Linked DNA regions of Ovis aries. The protein of the gene in region 1 interacts with the protein of each later gene in a pairwise test. Links are inferred from orthologs where the notes say so. Each region holds a gene or a part of one and is shown on either strand. Other genes may lie near its edges.

Region 1 (9,843 bases):
TGTAGGTGAAATGATGTTCTCTATGTGCTAAGTTTCTACAAGCAATGTGTAAAATAAAGGAGGCAGTATTGTATTAATCTGTTTCTTGTGGGTTGTTTACAATGAACTAAGAGATTCAACTTTTTGAACCAGTATGGCGGAGAGAAGTCTGAAGGGTAGTAACCCTTCAGGTGAAGCAACTACATAAGGTCAGCCCTGAAACCCCTCATCTACATTGCATTAACACTATCACACACATGATCCTGCCTGGTTTTAACCCTGTAAATTCTAAAACATAAACATCACATTTAACTCTTTCATAAGTTATTTTTCATCTGCATCCTCCAATCTGCAATCTTCATGAGCAATCCCCTAGAGGATCCCAGAACAGCTGTTGGCAGCACCATTTCAGTATAGTCTACACTGAAGCTTTCTTATCTTGACATATAACATATTAGGGTATATAATTCAGCTGGACATGTGACTCAGTCCTGAGTGTGATACTGTGAAAATGTGCAAGTTGACAGATGCATGCACCTATCACTGTTGCTAGCCAGCATGCTCACCAGAGTAGAATTCAGTGATACTTTCCATTTCTCCCAGTAGCAAGCCTTTTCCTGCTTTGACCTAGAACTTTACCTCTGGACTTCCTAACAGTCTACCGAGCACTCTGCTGTCAGCACTGGAGTGATGTGGTTTTCCATGTCACCTCGGTGTTCACATTAATAGCTCTTAGATGGAAACCTCCTGGAATGCCTGCCTCAGAGGTTTCTGAGGCTACTTCTCACCTGCCGAGTGTGCCACAAGTTTCAGTAGAATCTTACTGTCAGTTGACCATTCCCCAAAACATCCACCAATTCCATAAATATCCAGGTGGCTGCCATCAGCCATGGGACAAAGACCCCTACCTTCACAGAATCTACATTTAAGTGAGGAGAGAGGCAGCAAGGGGTGTTTTTAAAAGCAGGATGTCCAGTATGTTAGTCGGAAGTACACACTAAGAAAAAAATAAAGCAGGAAAGAGAGATATAAAACATCAGGAAGTAAGAGAGTTGGTTTGAAAGGAAAGGCCTCACTGAGAAGGTAACTTAGGCAGGGGAATAACCAAATGCATAGGCACATGTATGGAATCACAATTATAACTGTGATTAAAATATGGATGGAGATTCCTTTAAAAAACTAGTAGTAAAACTACCATATGACCCAGCAATCCCACTGCTGGGCATATACCCAGAGGAAACCACAACTGAAAAAGACAAATGTACCCCAATGTTCATAGTAGCACTGTTTACAATAGCTAGGACTTAGAAGCAACCTGCTGCTGCTGCTGCTAAGTCGCTTCAGTCGTGTCCGACTCTGTGCGACCCCATAGATGGCAGCCCACCAGGCTCCGCCGTCCCTGGGATTCTCCAGGCAAAAACACTGGGGTGGGTTGCCATTTCCTTCTCCAATGCATGAAAGTTAAAAGTGAAAGGGAAGTCACTCCGTCATGTCCAACTCTTCGCGACTCCATGGACTGCAGCCCACCAGGCTCCTCCGTCCGTGGGATTTTCCAGGCAAGAGTACTGGAGTGGGGTGCCATGGCCTTCTCTGGTAACACAGCTAGTAAGAGTTAAAAGAAGTCAGAGCAGGTGAAGTGCTTACTTGCGGCTGGGGGGTGGTGAGGGAGTGGGCAGGAGGGCGTATTTCCCAATGTTTGGGATCAGCAGGTGCAAACTATTGTATGTGGGATGAATGGCAGCAAAGTCCTACTGCGTAGCACAGGGAACTGTATTCAGTATGCTGTGACGGAGCAAAATGGAAAATGTATATATGTATATATATGCCTGGGTCGGTTTGCTGTGCAGCAGAAGTTGGCATGACATTGGGAATCAACTATGCTTCAGTAAAATTAAATTGAAAAAAAAAAAGGTCAGCGCCTAGTGGGCCTCTAACCCTGTGCACATCACCACACTCTGTCTTGCCAGCAGTGAGGAGGCCCTTGTTCTCAGGAAGAGACAAAAGAAACTTCATCTCTCCATCCAGTTAACTCCTCTCACGTCACCGAGGTGAGGGTCAGTATTGCAGAAAGAAAGAACTCAGGCTGCCGTATGCGACAAGCCTGGTTTGAGTCTCAGGTTGACACTGATCAGGACTTCAGAAAGTGGGTTAGTTTCCCAGAACTTCCAGCTTCACTGGCAAAACGAAAATTTTAAAACATACCTAACATACATAGGGATGATATAAGGTTAATGTGAGGAGAACAAAAGGTGGTATCAGTGAGGGCCTCCCCAGTGACGGAAAGTGCTGTGACATCAGACACGCTTGCGTGCTAAGTCGCTTCAGTCGTGTCTGACTCTTTGCCCCCACCATGGAACTGTAGCCCACCAGGCCTCTCTGTCCACAGGGTTCTCCAGGCAAGAATACTGGAATGGGTTGCCATTCCCTTCTCCAAGGGATCTTCCCGACCCAGGGATGAAACCCACATCTCTTATGTCTCCTGCATTGGCAGGTGGGTTCTTTACCACTAGTGCCACCTGTCATATCAGACTGCTGCTGCTAAGTGGCTTCAGTCGTGTCCGACTCTGTGCGACCCCGTAGACAGCAGCCTACCAGGCTCCCCCATCCCTGGGATTCTCCAGGCAAGAACACCGGAATGGGTTGCCATTTCCTTTTCCAATGCAGGAAAGTGAAAAGTGAAAGGGAAGTAGCTCAGTCGTGTCCGACTCTTAGTGACCCCATGGACTGCAGCCTACCAGGGTCGTCCAACCATGGGATTTTCCAGGCAAGAGTACTAGAGTGGGGTGCCATTGCCTTCTCCAGTGATGTCATACAGATGGACCTAAGCCAGCTTCTAGGTACACAATTCCACCCACCGCCCCTGCCTATGCTCCCCATCGGAAGGCAAAATCTAAACAGAGAAAGGAATACTGAAAAAGATATGTTACCAGAAAAAGAACAGGACAGAAGTGGGGCTTTAGTGGGTCCTCAAGTACTTGTACGCACATGATGGAATTCTAGATCCTGACCACCTCAGCGTGGTCTGAGGACCAGCAGTTTGGGCATCACTGTCATCACTTGGGAGCTCATAAGAAATGCAGGCTCTTGGGCCCCACTCCAGACCCAGGGAAGCAGAAACAAGAGCCACAGCTGACAATACTGAAGTGAGGAATAGTATATATTGTATCTTAGAGGCAGGTCTACCCAATCATCAAATCGCTTGAACTGCACAAGCCAGAAGTTGTAAAGAATCAAAAAATTTGTCAACAGTCAACTCTTTGTCAAAAAAGAGTCAATGAATTATGAAATAGAAATGAAGGTTAAAAATGCTCTAGGCCTAAATTAATGTCTGTATGAAAAAAAAAAAAAACCACACACACACATACAAACCTTGACATCAAGTCAGAACTACCTACTGTTTAATAGAAGATGTCAGTTCAAACTGCAGGGGGCCCAGCCCTTCCTAAAAGGAACAAACCACCAAAGATTCCTCAGCAACAAAGGTAAAAGATTTTCTGCTCTCCTTACTTCCTTGGGGTAAATCCAAATATAGAGACAGGGATAGTGGTTTAGTTGCTAAGTCATGTCCAGCTCTTGAGACCCCATGGACTGTAGCCTGCCAGGCTCCATGGGATTTCCCAGGCAAGAATACTGGAGTGGGTTGCCATTTCCTTCTCCAGGGGATCTTCCCAACCCAGAGATCAAATCTGCTTCCCCTGCATTGCAGGAGGTCAGTACCTAAAACTGTAAAATAAAAAAAATTTTTTTTAAAACACATGAATTGGATAATTCTCTTTGAATTCAGTCTCCTTAAGATCATCACAGAATTGAAGTGGGCAAAGCATCTCCAGTGAGAATATAAATAACAGGATGAGAGACAGAGAGAGAAGGAATGAGCCTTCCTGGAGTTGTGAGCATAGCAGTTGTGGCCTGTGACTCATAATAAGTACAAGGAGAAGGACAGTAACCCAGTAAGAGGGAAACTGACAATGGGTTTGCGTCATGAAAAGGCGACCCCTCCACTCACACAGGAGGGAGCCCTGCGTCACACTCACCCAGCAGGGCAGCCACTATGCCCACCAGCCCTGTGCCAGCACCCAGCTCCACAGCAGAGCAGCCCCTGAGTTCCACAGTGCCCATCTCCAGATACGTGGCAAGAACGACAGCCTGAGTCAAAACACAGTATGACAGTTAAGGTCAATAAGCGCTTTAGGATTTCCAGCAGGCTCCATGCTCCAGGAAGTTACCACACACCCCCTCCCACTGCAAAGCTCAACTCCCAGGTTAACAGCACCCATGGGAACTCAGCTGCTGCTGGTAGGGTCACCTAGAGCAAACATGGATACCAAGTCCCACGGCCCAGCTGCCCCCAGCCCCACCAGAGGCCCTTGGGGCAGTCAGTGATTCTGCCCATCCAAGGCCGGGTCCTGCTGAATCTGGGAAGGTTAACTTCTGTGTCACAGCACTCTGACACTCAAGGTTTACAAACCCATTCTGGCAGAGCTGACATGAACAGTCTCTGTGATTTGGCTTAAGGAATGTCCAGTTCCTAAACCGAGTTCAAATCAGCAAGGCCACAACCAAAGGGGACAAGCAGAGCCCCACCAAGTCTCTCGGAGCTGCATCCCTCTCTCCTGCTCTCCTGAGCCCCTAACACTCATCACCCCACAGCGACCGGACATCAAGGGGTAAGTTTCAGATGAAGGGTTGGACTTGATATGTGAGTTAGCATTTGCAAACAACTCTAAAAATCAATGTATGCTCTTAACATCACTTTAATTTTTCATGGCCACATACTATTAGTATACCAAGCAATTCCTCTTCTCAGTGAGAATGAAGGAGACTCATCCATTCCTCACTATTCTGTATCTTTATTACTCTTTCTGAGAAAACTTTTCTTGTTACCTTGGACTAGATTCCTAGAAGTAGTACTACTGGGTTACAGATATATCAATATTTTGTATCCCTGAATGTTTCTGACACCCCCAATACAATGTTAAGATTGTAAAACTGTATCTATGCCAATCATTTATCCAGCATTGGCTGAATCCTGAGTTCCCACTGAATCCCAGGTGTGGCTAGAGGCTGAGGGCAAGTCTGCTACAAGCAGTTGAAAGAACAAGGCTGGGGAGAGGAAAAAGTAACCATTATAGTGTCGTTTTTTGATCATGACAACTATGGAAAACTTAAAGAAAACACATGATCCTCCTGTGGGGCTTTGTCAGTTACATTTCCTTTGTGCAGTGTTAAACTAGTGTCCAAAGCAGCTAGGGACTCCAGTGGCAAGTCATTTGATTTCTCTCAGCTTTCTTTACTCACCCTTAAAATGCAATCTGTTTGGTGAGGTGGGGTGCAGGAAAATGATCTAATGGGTAGAGGTTTTCTGGGGATGGGGTGTGGTGATGCAATGTTTTAAAACTGAGCATAGTGGTACTTGCACCACTTTGTGAATTTACTTTAAAAAAAAAAACTTAAACTGCAAAGTACAGTATATAAATTACAACCCAACAAAGCTGTTAACTTTTCAAAAATAAGAGCACTCTTATCATCAATTGCTGATATTTTCAGAGACGTCCGGCGATCACTTACCGCGTCCCAAACCACCGCTGCGACTCCCAGTTGCTTCCAGTCCTGACGGATCTGTATCGTGTGGTTTGCAAAGGAGAAGGTGGCCAGAGGCTTGTGGAATCTCTGCAGCCCCATCTCCGCGGTCTCCACATAGGGCACCAGGGCCATCTCGCCCCCGGCCAGCTCTCTGCTCCCTCCAAGCTGTAGGGCAAAAGAATCTTGAGTGAGGCTCTAGGTAGAAAATGCACGACCTCTTTAGTAGCTCCAAATGCTCAAAGCCAATTGTTACAAGTTCAAAAGAAGAAAGAGTTGAGGCGAAGTCTCTAATCCCTTTTGCACGGCCCTCCTGGGAAGTGAGATTTCGCTCTGAACTCAAGCCAAAGGTGCTGGATGCCCTATACCCTCAGCGGTAACCACTCAGTGAATTCGCAGCGCGATGAGTGAGCGAAGTGGAGGTGACAGCTCAGGACGCGGAGAAAGTAGCGCTTTCTAAACCGCCTGGGCCCGCGTGGACGGCGGCTTGCAACCCGCCGCGGTCGGCGGGGCATCTATTGTTTTGTGTTGGTCTCCCCTCGCTCCCTCTCGCTCGGTGAGTTCAATGGGGACCACCACGGACTCGAACCTGAACTTCAACCTGGGGTTAACGTTGTGATTATCCTGGTTTATGGTACCGGCTGGATATACACGGTCTACGCAGATCCATTTCCTGGAGACTGAAAGTGAAAGACACTCGGGCATTCTGAATCTCTCGCGGGGAGCGGGACCCTGGGTCCGGCATGGAGTCGCCCCCCTCCGCGGCTGGGAGCCCTCCCCGGAGTCGCCCGCCCCCCAACCCCAAACAGGGGCGGCGGACAGAGACGCACGTCCTTCCGCCGGGCCCCGGGGCTACGGGCAGCTGCGGCGTAGGGGCGGGAGCCTGGAGAGGGGCCGCCCGCTCGGCCCGGCCTCACCCCGCCCCGGGAGCGCCGGAACCTCCCCGCCGGGGGCGCGGCCAGCGCCCCGGGAGCCCGGCGGGCCACGCACTGGGGCCCGCGGCACGGCCTGGCCTCTACTTACGGCTCCGGAGACGGCCTCGCGAGGCGCGCGCGCTGCTCTCCCCGCCCCCAAGGTCGCCGGCGGAAATGACCGGCTTTAAAGGGCCAGAGCCCGGGTAGACCGCCGCGCCGGGCCGGGAGGGGGCGGGTGGCCGGCGCTGGGCCACCCGTTTCCGGTCCCCCGCCCTCCCAGAACACGCGATCCCCGAGCGCCAGCGACGCGGAGCGGCGGGTGCAGTGGGGACCAGCGCGGGGATGGCGGGGCGGAGGCGGGGGCGGGGCGGGGTTCCCGCTGCGTGTGTCCGCAAGGTATCCGCACCCGCAAGTCAGTTTCTCTGGCCGCCGAGGGTGGAGCTCGTGGGGATCCACGCTGTCTAAATCGGGGAGTTCTATAACGACCACTGCAGGCTCGATCCTGAACTTAAACTGGGCGGACTCGATCCTGAACTTAAATACTAGGCATTAACAGTATGATTATTCCGCTTTACGATACCCTCTGTTATTACTGCCCCGCCATCATCTCCAGTATTAGATACAAGTGACATTCGCAAAGAACCAATGAATATCTACAACCTTAATGCCATGCTCCGGGACTAAATCAAACATCTGCAGAAAGCCGTGGACCGGTCCTTGCAACTGTCTCGTCAAGGAGCTGCAGACCCCGTGATCGATAAAGACAAGAAAGCCCTAATGAAAGAGATCCTCAGGTTCAAGTCCCTACTGAGCACCAAACGGGAGCAGATCGCCACACTGAGGGCGGTGCTGAGAGCCAACAAACAGGTGATCTCATTCTACTGGTGAGCTATGCTAGCCAACACTTTATGCCTAAATGTTTTCAGTGTCCACTACCATCAGGATGGGAGAAGGAAATGCCAACCCACTCCAGTATTCTTGCCTGGAGAATTCCATGGACAGAAGCGCCTGGCGGGCTATAGTCCTTGGGGTCACAAAGAGTCGGGCACGACTAAGTGACTAACACTACTACACTACTGGATATACACCGCTGCAGAAGCGGGGGCGCGGAGGGCATGGGTGCCACCGCGGCCGGGGACCGCGAAGCCACCCGCCTGGCACTGGAGAGGCGGCGGGTCTGCCTGCCAGTCTGTGTGCTAGTTCTCGCGCTCGCGCTTTTGTGTGTGTGTGTGGTCTTAAAATTTGTGCGCTTGCGGGTTTTTAGTTTTAAGGGTGGTCAGTTAGCGGGTGTAGGAGAAAATTCGCCCCTAAGAATACGTGGTCAGCCATCCACCACCCATCACCCATTCACCATCTCACCCAGGTGAAGTCCGAGTTAGTGAATTCGCGTGCTCCGTGGCTGCGCAGTGGGAAACGCGACAAAGCCCTTCTCGGAGCCCGCACGCGGCACCCTGGCCGGGGTTGTTGCTAGCGCCGTCAGCCGGGATCCTGTCTCCTTCCTTCCCCGGCCGAAAGGTCAGCGCACCTGCCCTGGGGGCACCCGTTCTTGAGACGAAAGCTGCTCAGAGTGTGGCATCTGGTCGCAGGTCCCTGGGAGGGACGCGGTTGGAGAGAGCATCCAGGAATGTGACTGCGCTGGGAGTTGGAGGGAGGGGGGCACAAATGACGAGATGAGGGCTACCCTCCTTCTCCCTGGAAGGTTTCTTTTTCCTCTTGGATCTTGACCCCCAGACCCCGCAACCCACCCGCCGCCGCTCTCTCGCAGCGAGTCTCAGCTCCGCCTGCACTTTAGAATAAACTGGAGCGCTTTTCAGCCCTGCAGAGCTGGATGCCGCCACTGCAAAGTCTCAGCTGGTAAGCGGTGGGGCCTAGAGCAATCCTATTTTTCAGAGCTTCCCGGGTGATTCCGGCCGGCAGCCTGGACCACCACCACCCCCCGACCCCCGCGTCCCCGCTTCCTATTCCTCTCAAATCCCGCAGGGGGCGTGCTCTGCTCTCTGTCCAGATTTCCTTAGAAAGCTGGGACCCTGGGCTGCAAAAGTGACTTGAAGAACTTTGAAGGTCACCAGTGAATATCTTTTCCTTTTTTTTTTCCTTTCTTTGCTTTGCTCAGTTATTCATGACTAACTTTTTTATGTTAGTGGCATAAAACTGGCTGTTTTATGCCAAAACTGGCAAGAAAGTGCAACGATTCCCCAAGCACTCCCTGCCCGGTGCCTAGCCTCCCCCATTTGTCATCTCCCACCAGAATGGTACATTTATTACAACTGATGAACCTACGGTAACACATCATTGTCACCCCCCCAAGACCAGAGTTTACACATTAGACTTCACTGTTGGTGTTGTCAGTTCAGTTCAGTTCTGTTGCTCAGTCGTGTCTGACTCTTTGTGACCCCATGGACTGCAATATGCCAGGCCTCCCTGTCCATCACCAACTCCTGGAGTTTACTCAAACTCATGTCCATTCAGTTGGTGATGCCATCCAACCATCTTATCCTCTGTCATCCCCTTCTCCTCCCGTCAATCTTTCCCAGCATCAGGGTCTTTTCAAAGGAGTCAGCTCTTAGCATCAGGTAGCCAAAGTATTGGAGTTTCAGCTTCAATATTAGTCCTTCCAATGAATATTCAGGATTGACTTCCTTTAGGATGGACTGGTTGGATCTCCTTGCAGTCCAAGGGACTCTCAAGAGTCTTTTCCAATTCCACAATTCAAAAGCATCAGTTGTTTGGTGCTCAGCTTTCTTTTTAGTACAACTCTCACATCCATACATGACTACTGGAAAAACAATAACCTTAACTAGATGGACCTTGGTTGGCAAAGTAATGTCTCTACTTTTTAATATGCTGTCTAGGTAATAACTTTTCCCCCAAGGAGTAAGCATCTTTTAATTTCATGGCTGTAATCACCATCTGCAGTGATTTCGGAGCCCCAAAAAATAAAGTCTGACACTTTTTCCACTGTTTCCCCATCTATTTGCCATGAAGTGATGGACTGGATGCCATGATCTTCATTTTCTGAATGTTGAGCTTTAAGCCAACTTTTTCACTCTCCTCTTTCACTTTCATCAACAGACTCTTTAGCTCTTCTTCACTTTCTGCCATAAGGGTGGTGTCATCTGCATATCTGAGGTTATTGATATTTCTCCCAGCAATCTTGATTCCAGCTTGTGCTTCATCAGCCCAACGTTTCTCATGATGTACTCTGCATATGTTAAATAAGCAGGGTGACAAAATACAGCCTTGATGTATTCCCTTCCTCGTTTGGAACCAGTCTATTATTCCATGTCCAGTTCTAACTGTTGCTTCCTGACCTGCACACAGATTTCTCAAGAGGCAGGTCAGGTGACCTGGTACTCCCATATCTTTTAGA
Region 2 (9,886 bases), on another chromosome or scaffold:
TTACAATGGACTTAAGAATATGTTAAAAATTATACACAAAAAGTTTGTCATTTTACAGTGACTTCTGCTGGAGCTGTAGTTTTTGTTCAATGATATCTGAGAAACGAGGAACTTTTTTTGAAATAGCCACACGGATGTCATCACTCATATTCAAGCAGCTTCTGGACTTTGTTTTAAAATGCAAAAGTGATGAAAATCCCAACTCACAAAGGTATGTAGTTGCAAATGGTATAAGGATTTCTAGCGCTGTCTTTGCCAGGCTGGGAAACACTGTGAATTGAGCACACCAGAAGTCCTCAAGCTTCATTGTCTCAAATTCCATTAGGATTTGGCCACTAGCTCGTAATTCAGCAAGATCATTTTTCACTAAATATCCATCATCGACAAAGTCCAGATTAAAGAGAAATGGATCCAGTATCCATTTACTTGCCTCATCAAGATCTCCAACAGAGAAGTAGCCATGGAAGAAGCTGCTCAGCTGTTGCAGGTGCCGTGTTATTTCAGCTGCGATGCATAAAGCTTCATTATCAGAAACAACAATTTCTTCAAGAAAAGGAAAGTTGGTAAAATTTCTTTTCTCAATCCGCTTTAGCCAAAATGGAAACTTCCTAACAAAGGCAGACAACTTCTCTCTAGCGGATACTGTGTTCATTCCAGTCCTTTGCATAGATGCACTAAGTTCATTTAGGTGTTTGAATAAATCTGCAAGGTACGCGAGGTGAATTTTAAACTCTTTGTTTTCAAAGCCATCAACTAAACTGCTGCTTTGGTGGTGAAGAAACTGATTTATTTCTTCATGCATTTCAAAAATATGAGTAAGCATCTGGCCTCGGGAAAGCCACCTCATTTCAGTATGGAAAAGGAGAACACTATACTCTATTCCAATTTCTTCAAAAAAAGCCTGAAACAGGCGATGATTTGGAGCTCGCCCTTTGATAAAATTTATTACCCTCACCACAGTAAAAAGAGCATCCCTCAGTTTTGTAGGCAGTGTCTTTGTGACAAGTGTATGAGGGTTCAGCAAACAATGTGTGATCACGATATGAGGTACCTCTTTTTTCACACAGCAAACAAACTCTGAATTTTCTCCTAGCATAGTAGAGGCACCGTCAGTACAAACAGAGCCGCATACATCGAGTGCTATCTTATGTTTCAAAAAGAAGTCTCTGAACAGGTTAAACACATCTTTTCCCTTCATTGTTAACTGCAGTGGTTCACAGAACAGGAATTCTTCTACAATCTCTCTCTCTCTTATGTATCGCACAAATGCCATCAGCTGACTGCAGTCATCCATGTCTGTTGTCTCCGCAAGCTGAATACCCACTTTAAGAGGACTGGCTTTGATATCTTCTAGAACTTGCTGTAAGATATCCTGGCTCATTTCATCAATTCTAGAATGGATCACATCATCTGATAAGGGTACCTGCTGAAGCTTCTTTTGTGCATCTGGTCCCAAAACTATTTGTGCTATTTCCAGTGCACAAGGTTTCACTAATTTTTCAGCTATTGTATGAGGATTCTTCTCCTTGGCACATAAATATGCAAACTGATATGATGCCTGTAGTAAGGCATCTTCCTGAGATGCAACTCCAAATGTTTTCAGGGTTTCACTCTGATCAGCTGGTGTTGGCACATGTTTCAGGCTACTGAGATCATGCCCACCTATACCACCATGCTGTCTGTTAAAATGGTCAGACAGTTTTGATGGTCGGAGGTCAGCATTTGAAAATACCGAGTTACACAATACACACTGTGGGCGCTGAGTTCCATCAATCTCTGTCATACAGGTGAACCAGTAACGAACATAGTCATCGTCCCATTTGCGTTTCTTCGACATGGCACCCCACACTTCTCACGCAGTATTCCACAGATGTTGAAGATTTTTGCTTGGAAGTAAAATATAATCCAGACATTAAAAACCAGTGGCTAACTGAATGAAAACAAAGCCACTTCTCATGCCATCCTGTCATCTGTGTACATGTCAAGAAATATCCTGTAACATGTCAGTTCAAAGTAAGCCATGACAATATGACAACATAAATTGAGCAAACTCACAGCTAAAGTCCTGGAACAAACACCTTGCCAGCAAGTTATATATGAGAGATTAGGGCTTATACAAATTGTGAATACCCTGTAAGTTCTCTACTGGTGAGCTGCAGGTATGGCTTACTTTGTTTTCAATGACGTATATTCCAAACAAATCTGGTACATTTTGTATTCCCAGAAAAGGCATCTCACTGCCATCCCTTCCTTCCATCCTATGCCAGAGATGCATGCATACCGCCCAGTTATGAACCAGTGAATGGAGAAGAAGTCTTCACTAAATACTCTAAGGGCAGATTCTGACATGCTGGCTAGTTCTTTCTAATATATAAGGATTTAAATCAAATAGTCTATAAAACTATTTGAGCCGTGAGTGGCTTTGACTCCAACCTAAGCAGAGAATTTCAAACAGGTCTGACTAAGCCACCTTTGAAGCAGGATATGCGCCATCCGTCCATGATTCATACTGTCATATAAAAAAAGCAAAACAAGTGGCTCAGGAGAAACACAACTATTCTTGTTATTGAAATTTCAGAAAAAGTTCTCTCATAGAAGAAAAGCCTTAATTATAGTAGGAAAGGATGTAGAAGGCAGGTATTCTCCAGTAAATAAATGGAGGAATCATCTAAGTCTCTTGCTAAAATACATATTCTTGGACCCTACACTCAGACATTCTGATCCCCTCGCTCTGGAGTAGGAGCCCCAAATATGTACTCTAAATAAAGTGTTTTAGATAATTTTTCTGAATAGTACCCAGAACAGGAATCTCTTAACGAGAGTGCCTATCACAATCACTGGGAGCACTTCTGAAAGAAAACATGTCCCTGTACCACCTCGGAACTAATACATCATCATTCTCCAGTAGCAGGACAAGAGAATCTAAAATAGAGTTGTCCAGGTGATTCTGATACATATCCAAGTACACAGACAGATTTAGAGGAATGAACACATCCCCAGGCCAGTTCCTAGCCTTACAGATATTCTAGGTTGCTAAGTAAACACTAAATGCTTTAACACCCATTTACCTTTTCTGAGTTGATGACAACTTCCTATGAAAGCTGAGGGACCTAAAAAGAAAGATATGTTTTCTTTTTTCCTCTTTCTCCCTCCTGAGCAATGAGTAATGGTATAATCCACATGTAGGCTCAAATATACCTTAGAAAACAATTCTATCTCCCATATAAATGATTCCCAAAGTTCTGTGCCACAGAATGTGGCTGAAATAATGTAACAGGGATACACTGAAATCCAAATACCCACTTTAGCCATAAAAAACTCACAGTAAGTAAGCCAAGAATATTTACTTAAAGCCCTAGCTTGCTAGAGGCTCTGCCAAGAATAACTAGTTGTAAAATGTACTTCTATGTAACTAGCAAGTTGATCTACCATATGGTTGCTATTGACCAGTTTAAAATTGACAGATGTCTGCCAGTTGATAAAGACAATTTAGAGTTGATCTTAAGCTTTCTTTTGTCAAGTGAGGAGACCATGGGCAGACTGTGTTTAGAACCTCTCCTAACTGATAACAGAATTATGAGATGAACATAAAAAAATGCTTATCTTTCTGTACATTGTTATGTATATTTCGGGGGTACAGAGAAAGCGAAGGAGAAAGCTTTACTTCAAATGATTTTCTTTACTTCATGTTTATTTCTAATGACTTCCAACTAGAAATTATGGGATGAGTTAAGAGTATATTCCTATCCATTCTATGCTACTCACATATATTTTGATTGAAGATTTACCTGTTTGGAAAAAGAGAATTTTTAGAAAAATTGTTCTCCCTCCCCCTCAAAAAGGGAGACTAGGTAGCAAGAAGTTTTAAGATCCTCAAAGATGAACTTACCGCCCAAGAGGCTTTCTTGTGTTATAGAATCTCAGGATTCTCACTTGTTCCTTTGTGGTATTTAGCAATCACAATACCCTAAAATATGTAAACATTAAAAAAAGCATCATCTTATTAAGGAATTATTATTAACTGAAACAGTGTGATAATGGTATGGTTGAGTTTTTAAAAAGTCTTCATCATTAGAAACACGGACTTAATTATTAACTGGTGGAATGATGTCTGGGCTCTCTGAAATACAGTACTTCAGCACACACACACAACGGGGGTGGAACTAGAACAGGACTGGTCTTGAGTTGGCTGGATGATGGACACACATCATTACACCATACTCACTCTATGTATGCTGGAAATTTCCCATAATAAACAGTAAAATAAACAAAAATGCTTACTTACTAACATAGACATAATTACTTTTCAGAAAGATTTTTGAGAATTTGCTGAAAGCCATCTAAAGATGCAGAATGAAAGAACAGATGCAACAGAGTAAAACATTTTGCAAGTTTATGAAGTGTAGATATGAAACAGTATCACAAGTGAGAGAAAAATCAGTCAGTTACAAGTAAACATTCATATAACAGAAATACCCGGGAAAGGCTAAAACATCTATGTCAGCAGTGACAACACCAAAGTGCGGCAGTAAACCTTAAACACCAAACCAAACACAATCAGACTTCTACTTGGCCTCTGCCTATGCCAGTCCATGGTAGGTGCAGGTATCCAGGGAGGCAGAGGATTGGATTCACTATCTTTACGTTATGAAAAGCAAAAACCAGGAGAGAAGGTAAAGGAATGCAATGCAAATACTCCAGAGGCAAACGCCTGGGATGCTGGCTTTGTCACTTAGAGGCTGGGACCTGTCCAAGCCTCAGTCCCTCAACTGGGGATGACAATAGTACCTACCTTACAGGGTTGTTGGGAGGTTTAATTATGAGCGTGCATGTAAACGACATGGGCTCGTAACTGGTAAGGCTTGGTGTATTATAAAGGACGGAGCATTTAGAAGGCTGCCAGGGCAAGCTAAGGACTCCGGTGGCGCGGAAAGAAGACTGCTCGGTCTCCAGCCGACGGCTCTGAGACGCAGGCGCAGGCCCAAGGGATGCTCGGGCTTCTTTTAGGCGCCCGTTTCGGGCTCCACTTCCCTCTCCGCTCAGGCTAGGGCTCAGCCTCCGGGAGCTGGAACCAGTCTAGGCGGCCGCTTCTCGGGTGCGACCCCGGAGCAGGACCCTGCGGGGCGCGGTGTGATAGCTGCGCCCGCAGCGTCCCCCGTTCCTACCACGCCGGGCTCCATCCGGGTTCTCCTGGAGCCTTCCCGCCCGCAGACAGGGCGAGGCGAATCCTCGCACGCAGGCGCACTGGCAAACGGTTAGCGCCCCCAACTCGCACCCCCCGCCCCTTCCCCGGCCTCCAGGAAAGGAGCACGCGCGCTGCTTCTCTTTTCAAGTTGTGTATGTGGAGCTGGGAATTTTCTGCATATTGTGTCTGCAGAGGAGATGCATCGTAGAATCTCAGGGATGAAAAGCACTGTAAAGCCACATAGTTCTACTTTTTAACATTCAGAGCACTAGAAATAAAAATTTGTATTGTCAGGCTTTGATCTTGGCGATTATGAAGCTCCAATGATTAACCATTTTCTTTGTGGAACGAATGAGGAAGAAAAGAAGTTAATTCTACTTCCAAATTAAACATCCAGGCAAATGAGACAAGCTGTAAATTCTGTTAAGATAAAATGGTAGAGGATGAGCTTGTGTCTTCTTGCCCATGCTGGTTGCCCCCATCTCCCCATTAATTACAGCGTGTAGGTGAATTTGATGAGAATCATCATCCATCTTAGAGAAATGGCTTTTAAGATTCTTTTAAACAAGACTTTTAGAGAAATAAACCCATATCAGATTTTAGAGAAAAAACCTAAAGTAGAAACTAGAAAATGTTGAATGAAACAAACCGAAATACAGTCCTCTTTTCTACTTTAAGGGTTTTTCATGACATCGCATTTCATTCATTTTTGTATAGTCAGTCTTGTGAGATGCATCCCACAAGCCTAGGGGAGGGAGAAATGTCAAACAAAGTGAGGCAGATACCTCATTTTCAGGTCTTGAGGGTGAGCCTGATAAAAACACCAAGAGCCTGCCTAAGGTTTCTGTCAATGAGAGAAACTGCAAAAGACCAGCCTTCCTGGTCCAAAAATCTGGGCCTTAAATGTTAGAGAAAGGAATAGGCTTTAGAGTCAAAGACTTTGGTTTACATCCTGACCCCAACCTTTTACCGTTAGGACCTGAGCAAGCTACCTGGACTCAATGAGTCCCTATGCTTACTGTGAAATACGCATAGCATCCTATTACTCACCCCATGAAAGTCTTCTGAGGGATAACATATGCAATAGCACATAGTTCCAGCACTCAAGTCATCTATAACTGAGATAATAAAATCAAAGCTATCTTGAGTAATGTTCTAGATGTTACCTTTTATCCAAAAGGAAACAGAAATAAGACATGATTTCAGATATTATAGATTTCTTTCTAAAATCAGCTTAAATTAGGTTTCACAAAAGAAAACAGAAGCCCCAAAATGTTAGGTGACACATTTTTTTGAGTTAAAGTGTCCTGAAATCTTCTAATTCAAATGTGCAGAAGCTAACTTAGCCTTCTTGCCAGTCCTATAAACTACTTTTCTGCCAAATATTTGAAATAATGCTACAAACTACTCACAGTTAAATATTTCCAATTATATATCTTTATTAACAAAAGATAAATAAAATACAAAATAGACACTAATATCAGATTTTATGTTGAACCAGCCCCTGTTAAGGTAGGAATATGAAAACAAAAATTTTTGACATTCTTAAAGTAGGTAAGAATTAGGTCTGTTTGCATCACTGTTTCATACTGGTCTGAATTTAGATGCAATGTATATCCACAGTACTTGACAATTTGATTTAGTTACTTTCCCATCAGCAGTATTTCTGAGATGTTAACTTAACGCAATATTCTAGTGGGTTTTGGTAGTTCAGAAAAGCCAGTGAACTGTTAAAAGTCAATGTACTTGTGTCAGGGGTTTTAAACAGGCTGTTTTCACCCATCCCACTCTGTCAGCACTATCTTCCCAATGTTATTAGAAGCAGCTTAAAAATCATGTCATTCTCAAATACTAATAGCCCTACAGGCTATACTTGTAATATTCTGAAGAAACATTCAACTTCAGGTTTAACTTTTTGCAAATTTTACCGAGACACACCTGCTGGCTATAAAGATTAGGTACAACAGATACCCTACAATCTTTTAAAAATCTAATATTCATGACTGTTATATAAAGGCAATCACAATTAAAATAGCTATTAGTATCACAAACCATATTCTCTGTGACAAAGGAGAGGATTTCAGTGTCTGAATACTCCTGTCCAGACTGGTAAAAGACCTAGGACTTATCAGTCAACACTAACTCAGGGTGAAAAACTTTTTTCCCCATTCAAAGGCTAACACATTTAGTTCTGAGTATAAAATACAAGGAAATGTTTTGAAAATCAAAATTTTATAACCAAGGGGGAAATAGAATTGTTACTACACAGACTGACATCAGGGATAGTTATTCACACGTTCTACAGATTTCCTTCCAGTAACCCAAAGCTCAAGATAGGTTATCAGTTTCAGATCAGAAAAATCTGAGAAGGCAAAAAGAAATGATTATTAAATAACTACAGTTATAGTTACAATAAAAACAAAATGAAGCCCTTGTTTCAAGAAAGAGTAATTAATTGCCTTCACAATGAGTCCTAACACTAGATAAAGGGCCATAAAAATTGAGGAAATAAAGTTTGAAACTTAATAAATAAATGTTGAGAAGATATTCATGATAGGTGGAGAACTAAGATCTTTTCCCAATCACTAATATAAAATCGGAAATAAAATCTTAATCTGCACTTAATGAACCACTTTATTTCTTCTTCTTTGTTCTTCACCGAGTAAAGAAATGAATTTATTATGAGACTTCTGGATACTTCATTAAGGTCGGGCAGTCTCCTTGCTTCCTGACTTTAATGAGAATAGATACGGATTTTTCCATCGATAATCAACAGCAAGAATCTAAAAGAATGTATAAGCAGAGTCTATCTTGGGTCAGCGTCAGTGACGAGTTACTACTGTCCGAGGAAGGAGGCCATGGGGTCATCTGGCCTCTGACGTTTCATTCTGTAGGCCTCCATTTCCTCTTCAGTGGGTTCCCGAGTTTCATATATGCTGTTGTAAGGTCGCTTCCTCTCATCAATCTGCATGATCTCCTTGACGTGAAGAAGACGGGCCTCCTCTGCATTCAGTGCCTATAGTGAGAAGAAATACATGAGTACCATGGCTCTGAGTCAGATCCCTTTGGTTCAGAAGTGGCAGAGTACCAAAAGACCCCACTGACTATGAATTGTTACATCAAAATCCTAGATTGCCTCTGCCTGGGAGTCAGCTCTATCGCTGTCAAGCTACAACTAATTATTATTTGGCTCAAAAATTTTCATAGAGCACAAAACATCCTATGACATTTTCAATGTTAAAGAAATTTTATTTAACAACAAAAACTGAATGAGATTCATTTTACTGACAGAAGCCGGCAACTGATGCTTTTGGCGAAGAATACAATTCTGACTTTTCCCAAGACTTGCTGAAGCTTACAATTATAGAGTTAAGATGGCAATTCTCTCTGAGGAACATGTCAATAACTCGCAGGCAATATGGAGACACACAAAATCTCCATTTGTATTCTGGACCTGACAGATGACCCAAGCAAATCACCCAGTCTTCGAGTTTGTTTGCTCATTTTTAAAATGAGCTTGGGAATAAGATAAGATAATTTTCTAAGATTCCTACAAATAAAGACGACTGTGGTCACTTTTACTATTTATTTAGCCTTCACAAAGTACCTTTTTCAATTTTTCATGTTTCTTTTCTTCATCATCACTCTCTGAACTGCTCTTTCGATGCTTCCTCTTCTTTTTCTTCTTTTTCTTTTTCTCCTCTTTTAGTTTTTCCTGATGCATCTGATACAGAGCATTTACATATAGTGTTATTAATGTAAAACCAAAGTTCTAGGGCAAGTTTTAAAGTCTTCCCTTTAAGACTTAAAAATTCAGGACAACTGAATTGGGACATACCTCCATGAGGGTTTGAGGTTTTTTCACAGATTCTTCTCCAGTTGAATCATTTATAATACATTCTTCTGAATTCTGTGGAAAAATATATGTAATCTAACTTGAGTATCATAGCTACCAATCATCTAAGAAAAAGTTAAAATCTGAAACATAAAAATATATGTTTCATACAGATGTTTGACCTAAGAGCTTTGGCTGTTTTTACTAACTAGAGGATAATTACTTACAGCAATCTCCTTCCCAGCTTCTCCAGTACAATAGGAATACTTGAAAAAAGAGTGACAGCATTTGTATCCCCATCGGCCTTCTTTCCAGTAAGATCCCCAGATATGCTGCAGAGAGAGAGAGAGAGGTTTCTTAAAAAGGAGCCTGAAACTAAGGTTTCTCATATACTGTTTTCCTTTGTAAAAAAATCCTATCTTTAATTAATTGTATTATTTTCAAAAAACTGAAGTATAGTTGATTTACCATGTTGTGTTAGTTTCAGGTGTACAGCACAGAATATATACATATATATATATTTTTTCTCTTTCAGATTCTTTTCTCTCATGCTGCTGCTGCTGCTAAGTCACTTCAGTCGTGTCTGACTCTGTGTGACCCCATAGACGGCAGTCCACCAGGCTCCCCCATCCCTGGGATTCTCCAGGCAAGAACACTGGATTGGTTTGCCATTTCCTTCTCCATAGGTTATTAAAAAATATTAAGTATAGTTCCCTGTGCTATACAGTAGGTCCTTGTGGGGTTAGTCTCACATGCTGGTGATAAACAGTGACAATTAAAGGGACTCCAGGGTTAGCTAACAGGGTGAGTGTGTGGTTACAATGATCTTACATTCTATTCTCATTCTCCCCGCCAAATTAAAAAAA

The links. The genes of interacting proteins can lie anywhere in the genome.
Region 2: the proteins of METTL21A (region 1) and FAM200C interact in binary tests that used the Homo sapiens proteins (3 or more experiments, as listed by UniProt). The two-hybrid records come from large-scale screens. The link is inferred for Ovis aries from reciprocal best matches to the Homo sapiens genes METTL21A and FAM200C.

What each region holds. Positions count from the first base shown.
Region 1 is NC_056055.1:209,707,428-209,717,270, forward strand, and holds the start of METTL21A (protein N-lysine methyltransferase METTL21A), read right to left. Parts: upstream 6,654-9,843; 5' UTR 6,550-6,653; exon of another isoform or gene 6,390-6,549; intron 6,346-6,389; exon of another isoform or gene 6,240-6,345; 5' UTR 6,149-6,239; intron 5,728-6,148; 5' UTR 5,695-5,727; coding exon 5,548-5,694; intron 4,126-5,547; coding exon 4,014-4,125; intron 1,582-4,013; coding exon of another isoform or gene 1,310-1,581; exon of another isoform or gene 1-1,309. UniProt on the Homo sapiens protein: Protein-lysine methyltransferase that selectively trimethylates residues in heat shock protein 70 (HSP70) family members. Contributes to the in vivo trimethylation of Lys residues in HSPA1 and HSPA8.
Region 2 is NC_056058.1:69,539,823-69,549,708, forward strand, and holds the start of FAM200C (protein FAM200C), read right to left. Parts: upstream 5,193-9,886; 5' UTR 4,793-5,192; intron 3,968-4,792; 5' UTR 3,890-3,967; intron 1,887-3,889; 5' UTR 1,838-1,886; coding exon 53-1,837; 3' UTR 1-52. Other genes in the region: pre-mRNA-splicing factor SLU7, read right to left, coding at 8,022-8,201, 8,793-8,909, 9,024-9,095, 9,248-9,352.